Danio rerio: one gene and its partners. The protein of the gene in region 3 purifies or fractionates together with the protein of the main gene of each other region. This does not show direct contact. Links are inferred from orthologs where the notes say so. Each region holds a gene or a part of one and is shown on either strand. Other genes may lie near its edges. The genes, in order: ppp6c, ankrd28b and ppp6r2a.

Region 1 (2,955 bases), on a different chromosome or scaffold from region 3:
AAATCTTTTAAGTGGTAGTTTGTCTGACTGACTTATCTCAGTTGTTAACTTGGGCAGTGTTTGCCTTTTCCCCTAGCGTATTACTCTGAGTGCAGTACCCCTAAAAAAGTCAGTGATCTGAGAGCCAACCTGAGACTGATGTAGTTCAGAGCAGCTTCTTCTGTTTCAGCTCCTCAAGAACGGCGTCTCCGGGTAGCGCGCGCTTGTAAATCTCTCCCCGACACAAATCTAGACATCCAGTGCGGTGGCGCACCGTCATTTACATCCAACTCATTCAAATCACCCTCCCAGGGAAAAGCAGGGAGTATCTGCCATTCGGCATCTGCTGCGGTCGACGGTTCAGTCTGGCCAGTTGAATTTTCATTGACTGTTTTGTGGCAACCCGCTCAAACTAGCGTGCTTGTCAGATTCCCTCCGGTCTGTTAGTGACGTTCAAGGTATTTCATTGGTTGGCTGCGGTGTCAATCTGAATACAACTTACACTTTGAGGCGGGACTAGCGTAGAACTGCCTTCCACGGTTCTGCCTGTTGGATGGACAAGGGAGGAAGGCGCGCCTCCCTATGGTGTGTTATTTTAGTGCATTTAAACTTGTGTGTGTAATTAAATATTTCGATTGATTAGGACACAACACCAGAAATGTAACTTAATAATAAAGGCGTTTATTCTCAATATTTAATTGGTAAATGGGCTGCCGTTTTCTACAATAATAAAATACAACAAATCTGAGAAAAAAAAGTTGATTAAATCAATACAATTTATATTAATGTACAAAATAATCACAGCCTTCTTTGTCCTGTTGTCTAATCATTGCTTCAACCCTTTTCAACACTTGAAAGCTACGAAAAACAAAAGTGTCTTTGTCTTGGAGAAATTGGGAGCAAACTGACCAGAACATAGCTGTTTTAGTGACTCTCTTTCTGGTCTGTGCTCTGAAAAACACAAACACCACATTGTTCTGATCAGGCGAGGTGTTACACTATAAATGCTTGTCATTAAATGGTCAACGGCTCTTAGGTCTACATTTAAAAGGCCTGCAAGTACAGCATGGGGATGTTCACTTCATTACGCTCACATTAACAAGATTATACTGACCGAATAACGACCAACTTAAAACATTTTCAACAGGGTTCAGAACTGTAACCATAGTTTTCTGTTGTTATTATTGAGAGCACTTCCATCTTTACAAAAATATTTGTTAAAAAAAAAAAAAAAAGCAACACAGAGAAAATAAAGACAATAAAAGAGCTCATGACAACCATGAAAAGGAGAGGGCGAGACATAGGCAACAATGAAGACCTCAGAGGAAATAGGGTGTTGTCGTTCTCGGTGGTATGACTCTTTCTGAGTCAGGAACGGCCCGGAATAACTTGGGCTCCCGTGTGTTGACGTCTTTGAAGACCATGATGGAGGCAATGTTACCGCAGCGGTAGCAGTAGTTTGGGGCCGACCAGACGGTCACCAGCTTCTCATCAAACATAAATTTGTAGCCCTCATGAACCAATTGATGTGCACGGCAAATCAGCTTCAAGTTGTTGATGTGAACAAACTTTAACAGAAAAAAACAAATAAAAAGATTTAGGTTATGCATGAAGTGAGGTTTTTACTTTTACTACAATCTCAGACACTGTGCACTAGAATGTACATGCAGATGCCAACTACTAAGTCTCCATCTTTATTACTTAGGCAGTGAGTATGAGCCACACAAAAACTCAGTTTCTGCATAGTTCAAAGAAAATTGACAAGGCATGGGATGATAAGCAGTTTCAGGGTTTACCATGGTTTGATTTTAAAACCGCTAATATTTACTGTCGTACCATTTCTAAGGTATATGCAAGCTTTTTTTAAATGTTTTTTTTTTTGTGTTTTGTAAATTAATCTGTGTTTTTGAAACATATGAAGAGTGCAGAGGTCAATGGTGCATTTTAATTATTTAGCCTGACATGTTTAGTGTTCCAAAATATTATAAATGTCTACTAAAATTAAATATTTTGTGTTTAATACGGCAAAAAAAAAATTAAAGTTAACTTATTTTAAAGCAGTAATCGCAACAACGTGAAACAGTGGTATTTTTATCCAAGTTTATCGTACCGTGCAAAACTTATACAGGCCCATGCCTAGAATCAACAAATAATTAGCAGACCTCAATCTGTAATTACAGAGCAATAGTATCTTCCATAGGGAAGTGTTATAAAAGCCAAAAACAAAGCAGACTGTGCACTTTGAGAGCGATTTTTACCTCATTAGTGACCTTAGCACCAAACAGCCAGCCAGCTCCTCTTGGACTGATAGCCCAGGTGTCCACGTCCTCTGGGTCGGACCAAACAAGGTCACAAAATGCTCCCTTGTGAGGGATCTCCTGATTGCGTTCAATGGTGCGTATCTGGTCCAGAGTTTTGATGTCAGGTGAAAGGCCACCATGTACACAAAGGATCTGCTCATCTATCAACTGTGGGAGAAACAAACAACAATTATTAGATAATTGACAAGTTAAACTAGCCAATCGATATGATTTTTAGTTTGAAGCACTGAATATATTGCAACCATTTTATGCTAGTTCTGCAATGATGTATTGCAACAATAAATAATATCCCGAATCTGTGTAATTTATGTACACAATTGAAAAAGATCAATTGATTTGTTTTTAATTCTATAAACTACTAATGACAGTTCTTTCCATTTAAAAATAAAAAAATATTCAGATTCATAGTATCAAAAGCCATTTGAAATAACATTCATAATCAATAAATCCATTGTATGTACATGCTACAGAAGCTACCTAATTCATAAAAAAAAAATAGAATCAACTACAACGAACCAACTGTCTGTTGTTCTCTATTAGGTAATATCATGTTCTCTACTTGAGCTCTATACCTCCCCCAAAAGCATACAGACACAGTGTGATTGGCTGTGCCTTTCCCTGCTGTCAAGTAAGTGGCTGCTACTGTACGTTTGGA
Region 2 (3,704 bases), on a different chromosome or scaffold from region 3:
GAGATGCAATGTTTTAGTGTTTCTTGTATATACCTAGATGTTGACTGCATGGACATTACCTATGAAAAATGTATTTTATATTTATTTTGTTAATGCAAGGATGCATTAAATACTGCCAGAAGTGACTATAAAGGCATTAATAGTTACAAAATATTTATGTTTAGGATATTATATTTATAAATTATTCAGTTAAAAATAGCTTTGAAAATAGCTGCACAAGTTAAAACTTTAAATGATTCATAAATGAAAACTTAGGCCCACTTCCAATTCTACCCCTTAGCCCTTCCCCTTACCCAACCTCTCATTTTGCGCATTCACGTCAAGGGGTAGGTGTGTCCCAATTCTCTTTAGCTTGAAGGCCCAGGGGAAGAGGTGATTACACCTTCGAATGAAGATTTTTCAGGAACACACTCTAAACCAAGTGGTTAAAAAATTTCCTCGAATACCCCAGCCACAACGGCATATAGTTACACCCTGACGTAAGATCTACAAATTAGTATAAAACAGACGCTAAAATTAAAACCGCTAAGTTTTGCAATCTATAATCCATAATCATAACTCCTGTTTAGCAGTTCCACAACATTCTGATACTCGATAACACTCAAATACTCTGTCAGAAAAGTCTAGTGGCTGGGAATTGGCTTTTTACGGTGTCTGCTATTATGTTATTGTTAAATGCACATTATTACGGTCTTATTGTCACATTGGATTGTTATGATAACATAATAACTTGCCTTCAGTGATTTCCCGAAGATAAATACCAATAAATAACTCAACTGGAATAACTACAGCAGTTGCCATCGTCTGATCTCATATGAAGCAAGATATTGCGATGACATATGATGACGTGTGCAGGTGCAGGTGCTGTAGTGCTTGCCCAATTCTTAGGAGTACATTTTAAATTTTAGGAGGGGTGCAAAAATAGAATTGGGTCTTAATCTCACAGTGGTCACTCATGTTCAACCCTCCCAAACCGCAGTGTTTAGAGGGAAGGGCAGGTTCAAGTTTTCCTGGGTCGGCGACTCCTATATGACGATGTTTTGTATCTACAATAACATGAAACGGCAAAACACATTTGAAAACAAGATGATTCGTATAAACAACAAGGAGTCAATTTAACATTTCTGGGAATGTGTCTGTTAATTCATTGGTCTGTCTACAAATTAAGGCCAGCATGAACTTAGAACTGTGTTACACACTGCATGGAATATAGTTATAAAAAATCCATAACAGGGGCTCTTTAAGTACAGAAGTTTTTTTTTATTTTTTTTACAAAAATATGAGGCATTATTATTTAACAAACTCTCGTATTACTGTATTATGTTTATTACATGTATTATTTATGCTCACTGTGGTATGTTTATTGTCATATTTTTTGTGTTCACAATTTCAAATTAAAATAGTAAAAATTTGATTGAGAAGAAACATTATTTCTATTTGATTTGACTATTTCATCTGTTCCTATTAATCTTTATTACTCCCTAAGGCTACACTCCGGCCCTGGCTTGCGCTCCTAACAAAGATGTGGCCGATTGCCTGGCGCTCATCCTGGCCACCATGATGCCAGTTTCTCCTGGCGGAGGCTCGGTGCCCACGCTCACATTCAGTGCCATCAACCACTACACCAGCCCCACTAAAAGCGTCACCTTCGACAGCCTACCAATGCTCCGCTCCGAACACAGCTCCTACTGCAGCTTTAACAGCATTGGCCGCCACGACGGCTTCTACAAGGACGAGGAGCTCAACGACTCCGACTCAGAGACTTACTGAGGTAAACAAAAGCAGAGGCGCACATCTTGTCTTAATTACCCAGCGGCCGGCCACTCCGCAGAGCCTTAAGAGTCTCTACACATACACACACACATACACGTGGCGCAGCAGGCTGGCCTTCCTCATCCATCAGCTCAACCTCTGCCAATGCATCTTGCCCTATGTAAATTTTAGGAATAGGTGGACGGACCTCCAGATGTGGCAATAACAAGACAAGGAATCAGCAGCCTGGGGACCAATATTTTTGCACAGGATGGTTTGACACTGTCGTATTGCAAACACGGATTCATATATAATTTTTCAGATCTTGAGGGATAATTTAAATCAGTCGCTTTAAAAAAACAAAACAAAACATAACTGGGACATTTGTGTGCTTTCAAACAGTTTTCAGTCGGTGTGCACTTCTGATCAACTATTGGGGGAAAGAAATGATTTATTTTTTAAACAAACGTGATTTTAATACCTGTCTCTGACCCTCTCGAAGGGGGAAAACAAATCGAGTAGTTTCTAAAGCGCAAAGGTGAAATTTGAGGATATGAACATCAGCGTTGTGTAATGCTTTCGGCCACAAGCATGAGTTTAAAACAAAACAAAAAAAACAGCTAACACCTCTCTCCATCTTCAGTTTTAGGATAAATTATTCTTTTTATCTATGGTATTTATTTTTACTTTCCGCATTTCATCATCATTTTGTGCCTTCATAAATTACTGTATGGAGGGAAGGGGCAGCTCGAGAGAACAAATTCTACAATGCACAAGAAGTTCAACACTACATCTGTGAAAAAAGCACTGAAAATGAAAGGCAAACGGCTCCCAGCATGCTTTGCTCCAGGATGAGGAACACTGTGTAAAAACCAATGGTAGAACAGCATTTGATCTCTTTGTATGTTGATATATGAATATAAATATATATTATATTTTTTCTGGCTCTTATTAACATGACGTTTTTTGAGCAGGTTTGCTCGCTTTGAATTAGCAAATGAAACCACTCGATACTTCTGTGATGGCCTGTCAGAAAAAAACCCCTGTGTTTGTCTCTTTTCATGCTTTTGAGTTTTGGAATGATTGAAACTGGAAACCTGTTCAGTACAGCTTCCCGTCTGAGAGGGGGGCAGCAGAAATCTGTTTGCATCGCTCTTCTTTTATTACCAGTCTTTTTTTGTGGAAATAAAGGAGAGTGATTGGTGCAGTTGATGGCCACTGCTGTCCTTCTATTCGGAACAAGAGATTCCTGTATATTTTATGGTTGATTAAATAAATAAATGAGTTCAGTAATTTGAAATTGTTGTTGTTGTCAAGTCCTTAAGAAAACGGTACAGAACAAAAATGAAATAACCCGTGGTGGAAAGAGTACTGAAAAATCATACTCAAGTAAAAGTACCATTATTTGCCTAAAATGTCGTGCAAGTAGAGTAAAATCATCTGTTGTATAATTACTCAGATTATGAGTAAAAAGTAGACTTTTCAAAAGCACTCAAGAGTAGTGAGTATTATGCTGTAAAAAGCTGATGTGTTTACATGCAAGTTGTACGTGTGTGTGTCTGTGTCTGTGTCTGTGTGTGTGTGTGTGTGTGTGTGTGTGTGTGTGTGTAAATGTAACATTCTTTAGTGCATCGAGTTCTTGCCCAGCAGGCACACAACATCATAAGTCATTAATATTAGGTAAGATTCCAGTTGTGATGTCAGGTGGCCAAAATTCAATGTCTAGTCAGCGTCTAAAGACGTAATTTTGATGTCTAATAATGACGTCAAATGACGTTGATATTTGGTCGATTTTTAGATTGTTAGAAAGTGGCCATAATCTACCGTCAAGTCAACATCTTAAACCAACGTCATATTGACGACAAATACTGACATTTATTCGTCAGGTATGGCAACTAAAATCCAACATCTGATAGACGTCATAGTAATAACGTCCACACAACATTAAGCTG
Region 3 (3,659 bases):
TATATTTTCTTGGTCTATTTCTTTAAACTTTCATAAGTAAAATCATATGGACCGGTGGTAAAAAGTTCAGCAGAGTGAGTGATATTTGTACCTCTTCATCTCTCCCCGTGTGCATTAGCTCTGTGAGTCTCTGGATTAGTCTCTCTTCATTCAGCCACTGCAAACACAAATTCATTGACTGATTAGTTACACCCCAGATGACATGTGAGTGGGGATTTAGCCAGAACTCGGAGGAAACGATGAGGTTCAATGTGGGTCAATGTCTCATTTAAGCAACTGAATTGCTTGATGTTCTTTAAAGGTATCATTTTTAAAGTAAGGTCAATGTAAAAATATTTTAAACAAAATAAACATTTATAATATAATATCATTTATACAACAGTTCTGTCTGGTTCTCAAATCTGATTGGCTGATAGCCGTGCGATATTCTGCAATATCAGAACTCCTACAGCCTCTTTACCCTTTGTGTATTACTCCGCCCACATACAGCCAGCAAAAAGCAGACACTACAGATCTAAAGTTTAAAAGATGCACGCTCAACTGTTTAACTGTCAGCTTATGATTTGAATCCGGAAGAAAGTGGTTCCTCATACAAAAGGGTTTTTGAGACTCTCCATGTTTGATTTTGTTTTTATATACATAATTATGCCGTCAAACTGTTGTAAAAACGCAATATCACACTCGCAGAAGTGTGATATGGTTGTATATCGGCACTGGTGGGGGCACTAAGCGCAACGCACACCTCCCACCAGTGCCGATATACAGCTATATCGCACTGCTACTCGTGTGATATGGCTCATACATAACATATATAAATATTTGTTGCTCACAAGAATTAAGCTTGCAAGTGGTCTCTTAAAAAAGCAGAAATATGTTCATTCTCCTTAATATCTTGCAATTTAAGCGTGCTTACATTGAGGACCTCCATCCTCAAGGGGGCAGGCTCTACACAGCTGATGAGGCGCAACAATAGGTCCATCATGGCAGAGGCATCGATGTGATTCAGCACCAGACTGATAAAGTTGTGTTTTTTCCTTAGGAAAGAGATTACCTGCAAGCAGATCAGCAGAAAACGTATTAAGCTAATTATACAAACCCCAGTATTACTGTTGCACTATTTGGTGTGTTCATGTGTGTGTACCTGGTCTGTTTTACGTGCAATCAAGTTGCCGATGGTTTTGCTGAAGAAGGAGGCCAGCAAAGGATTAAGAGGGGGCTCCTGCTCCAGAAAATGGTAGAGCTTCTCCAAAAGGGATTCGTCTCCACCCAGCTTATCATTGATAAGAGCCACATCAGAGGTCAGGAGCTCACAGGCAATGTTTGGAAACCTGGATAAACAGAACCAAAGAAAGAAATCTATATTATATACTGATACATGTGACAATGCTATCAAAAACAAATGCAACAGTCTATGGTGACTTGGCTTTTAACTAAACAAACAAAGGCAGTTTCTGAGGTTCTAATGAAGGCAACTCAAATTTAACAAAGTTGCTCTGCAGAACTACTTATCTTCTGTCTCTCAGAAAGCACTAAAGTAAATACCATCCAACTCAGTGGTGCAGTGCTGTCAATGCCGCAAGAGAGGGTTATAAACTCTGCATCAGTGCCTTATATTGTGGAAATGGTAAATTTGACCAAAAAAAAGAAAAGAAAAGAAAAACCAAGTGAGAAATCTAAATCAGTGTTGGCAAGAAGATATTTCAGTCAATGAAATAACATTTCACAACACTTGGAGAGAAAAGACGTTTTGAGTGAATCCACTTGCTCATTTCAAGACAAATGATTCTGCCTCCTACACACAGAGAACCAAATGATTAGTTTTAAATGAACCGTAATCTTTTTCTCTCACTCTAACCATATGGTCCCAACAGAAAGTGCTAAAACAGAGAGATTTCAAGCCATGAGATTACTTCACATATTTTATGTTGAACAATACAAGTAAAACACAGAAACTCTTGATTTAAAACACAGAGTCTGAACATTATGCAGTTGTTGTTACACATCAGTTTTTAACTCAATCATTTCTCTTTGACATTTCCATTTCCATACATTTGCCAATTGAACATTCCCCTCTCCACTTCTCTGCTCTTCTACATCTTCCCTGTCAATTTTACAGCCCTCTCGTAACCAGGAGCTCCAAGCACGCAGTGCTTCCAGTGAACAATATGTCCTACCGTTATAATTCAGCAATTCTCAGTAGCAGTCTGGATAGTTTTTCCTGCCAGGTAGACTATAGTTTGCTTGCAGTGAATAAACACGCAAGATGTAACATTAGTGAATTATCTGCAAAACGTCAAAGGAAAAAAAAAATGCACCACCCTGTTATTAAATTATTTTTAACCAATGAAATTTTGTAGAGAAAATGAAACGTGACAGAATCCCTAAACTTGAATGTATAATAATCATAATGGCACTTTTCCAACAGGTGTCCTGCACACTTCCCCATCTGTTTACGTGAAACTCATATCATTGGTTAAACCTAATCTGTAATGTCCACAGCCAGCCAAACTAGTTTCTTTCTTACTTGAAGCGAGTTTTCTCCTCCAAATCAGCAGGAGGTTCCTCAGTGATTAGAGTGACAAGTTCCTGCATACAGTGATCCTTGGAGAGGAAGAGCAGGAGCTTGCGGTTCTGTGCTTTGCATTCCTGCAGAACATCCTCCTCTTCCATCAACTCTCTCAGAGTCACGCCCTCTCGATCCAGCAGCTGGTCAATATGGGAGGTGTTGTTCAGGTCAAACTTCCAGAACATGATGGCGGTGGTGGCAGCTGCTGCAGGAAGCACAAGCCTGAAAAAGAGAAGGAAAGAAAATGAAGATAACAAATACAAGTGAAGGATAATGCAAAGTGCACAGGGACATATATATCTTTTTAAAATGAAATCTCTAGCAATAGAAGACAGTCTCAAAATGAGACTGCAAAAAGGGGTCGGGGAGAGCAATTCAAGGTGGCTGATTCACTAATCGAAAGACATAAAGAATGGTTTAATCAGTTTGCACCATTTACAACTGCTTTTAAGATGTTTATGTGAAACATTTTACGTTTGTCCACATTTGGGTGAGGAAAAATGTTATTAATATTTTATCTTTCTTAATAAAATAAAATTGAAAAAAACAAAAGGTTTAGATTTGTGTTGTATTTTTAATTTAAAGATTATCTGAAAAAGATAAAGCACTCTGATTCAGTTGAGAACCACTGATGTAGAGTGTTTCAAATCAGTCCCTTATGAAGATCCATGATGATTAGAAAGCTTCCCTAAAAAAAGCAGCTGTCTATGAATTCAGCCTAACAGGTTTGGAACCAAGTTCCCACTCCCAAAGCGAGTGGGAGGGGGGAAGAATTGTGATGGAAAGCAGAACTAACAGATGAAAGGAAATCTGGAGAATAAAAGTACAAGCAAGGGGAGAAAAATAATTGATAGACCTTTAAAGCATCCAACTAACACGTCCCACTAAAAACAAAACATGAATCAACAGGAACATGAAGAGCAACTTTCTTTAAGTACTGATTGAAATCACCTGTGCTGTGAAGATTTTCTAACCACTCTGGTCAGACCTTTCCCAATAGATGACTGATACCCACGCATAACACCCTGGGCGATACATTTCACACAGTCTGATAGGCCTCACTTGCTCAAAGAGATGTGATCTGTTAGTAAGC

The links.
Region 1: the proteins of ppp6r2a (region 3) and ppp6c purify together in Homo sapiens (affinity purification with mass spectrometry; 9 studies listed by BioGRID and IntAct, counting the BioPlex papers as one, with this or other methods). This does not show direct contact. The link is inferred for Danio rerio from reciprocal best matches to the Homo sapiens genes PPP6R2 and PPP6C.
Region 2: the proteins of ppp6r2a (region 3) and ankrd28b purify together in Homo sapiens (co-immunoprecipitation; 4 studies listed by BioGRID and IntAct, counting the BioPlex papers as one, with this or other methods). This does not show direct contact. The link is inferred for Danio rerio from reciprocal best matches to the Homo sapiens genes PPP6R2 and ANKRD28.

The regions. Positions count from the first base shown.
Region 1 is NC_133180.1:32,608,430-32,611,384, reverse strand, and holds the end of ppp6c (serine/threonine-protein phosphatase 6 catalytic subunit), read right to left. Parts: intron 2,448-2,955; coding exon 2,238-2,447; intron 1,548-2,237; coding exon 1,299-1,547; 3' UTR 641-1,298; downstream 1-640.
Region 2 is NC_133191.1:21,497,982-21,501,685, forward strand, and holds the end of ankrd28b (serine/threonine-protein phosphatase 6 regulatory ankyrin repeat subunit A), read left to right. Parts: exon of another isoform or gene 1-424; intron 425-530; exon of another isoform or gene 531-1,486; coding exon 1,487-1,770; 3' UTR 1,771-1,771; exon of another isoform or gene 1,772-1,944; 3' UTR 1,945-3,052; downstream 3,053-3,704. UniProt on the Homo sapiens protein: Regulatory subunit of protein phosphatase 6 (PP6) that may be involved in the recognition of phosphoprotein substrates. Involved in the PP6-mediated dephosphorylation of NFKBIE opposing its degradation in response to TNF-alpha.
Region 3 is NC_133179.1:20,679,808-20,683,466, reverse strand, and holds part of ppp6r2a (serine/threonine-protein phosphatase 6 regulatory subunit 2a), read right to left. Parts: intron 2,789-3,659; 5' UTR 2,752-2,788; coding exon 2,525-2,751; intron 1,329-2,524; coding exon 1,142-1,328; intron 1,052-1,141; coding exon 914-1,051; intron 158-913; coding exon 92-157; intron 1-91. UniProt on the Homo sapiens protein: Regulatory subunit of protein phosphatase 6 (PP6). May function as a scaffolding PP6 subunit. Involved in the PP6-mediated dephosphorylation of NFKBIE opposing its degradation in response to TNF-alpha.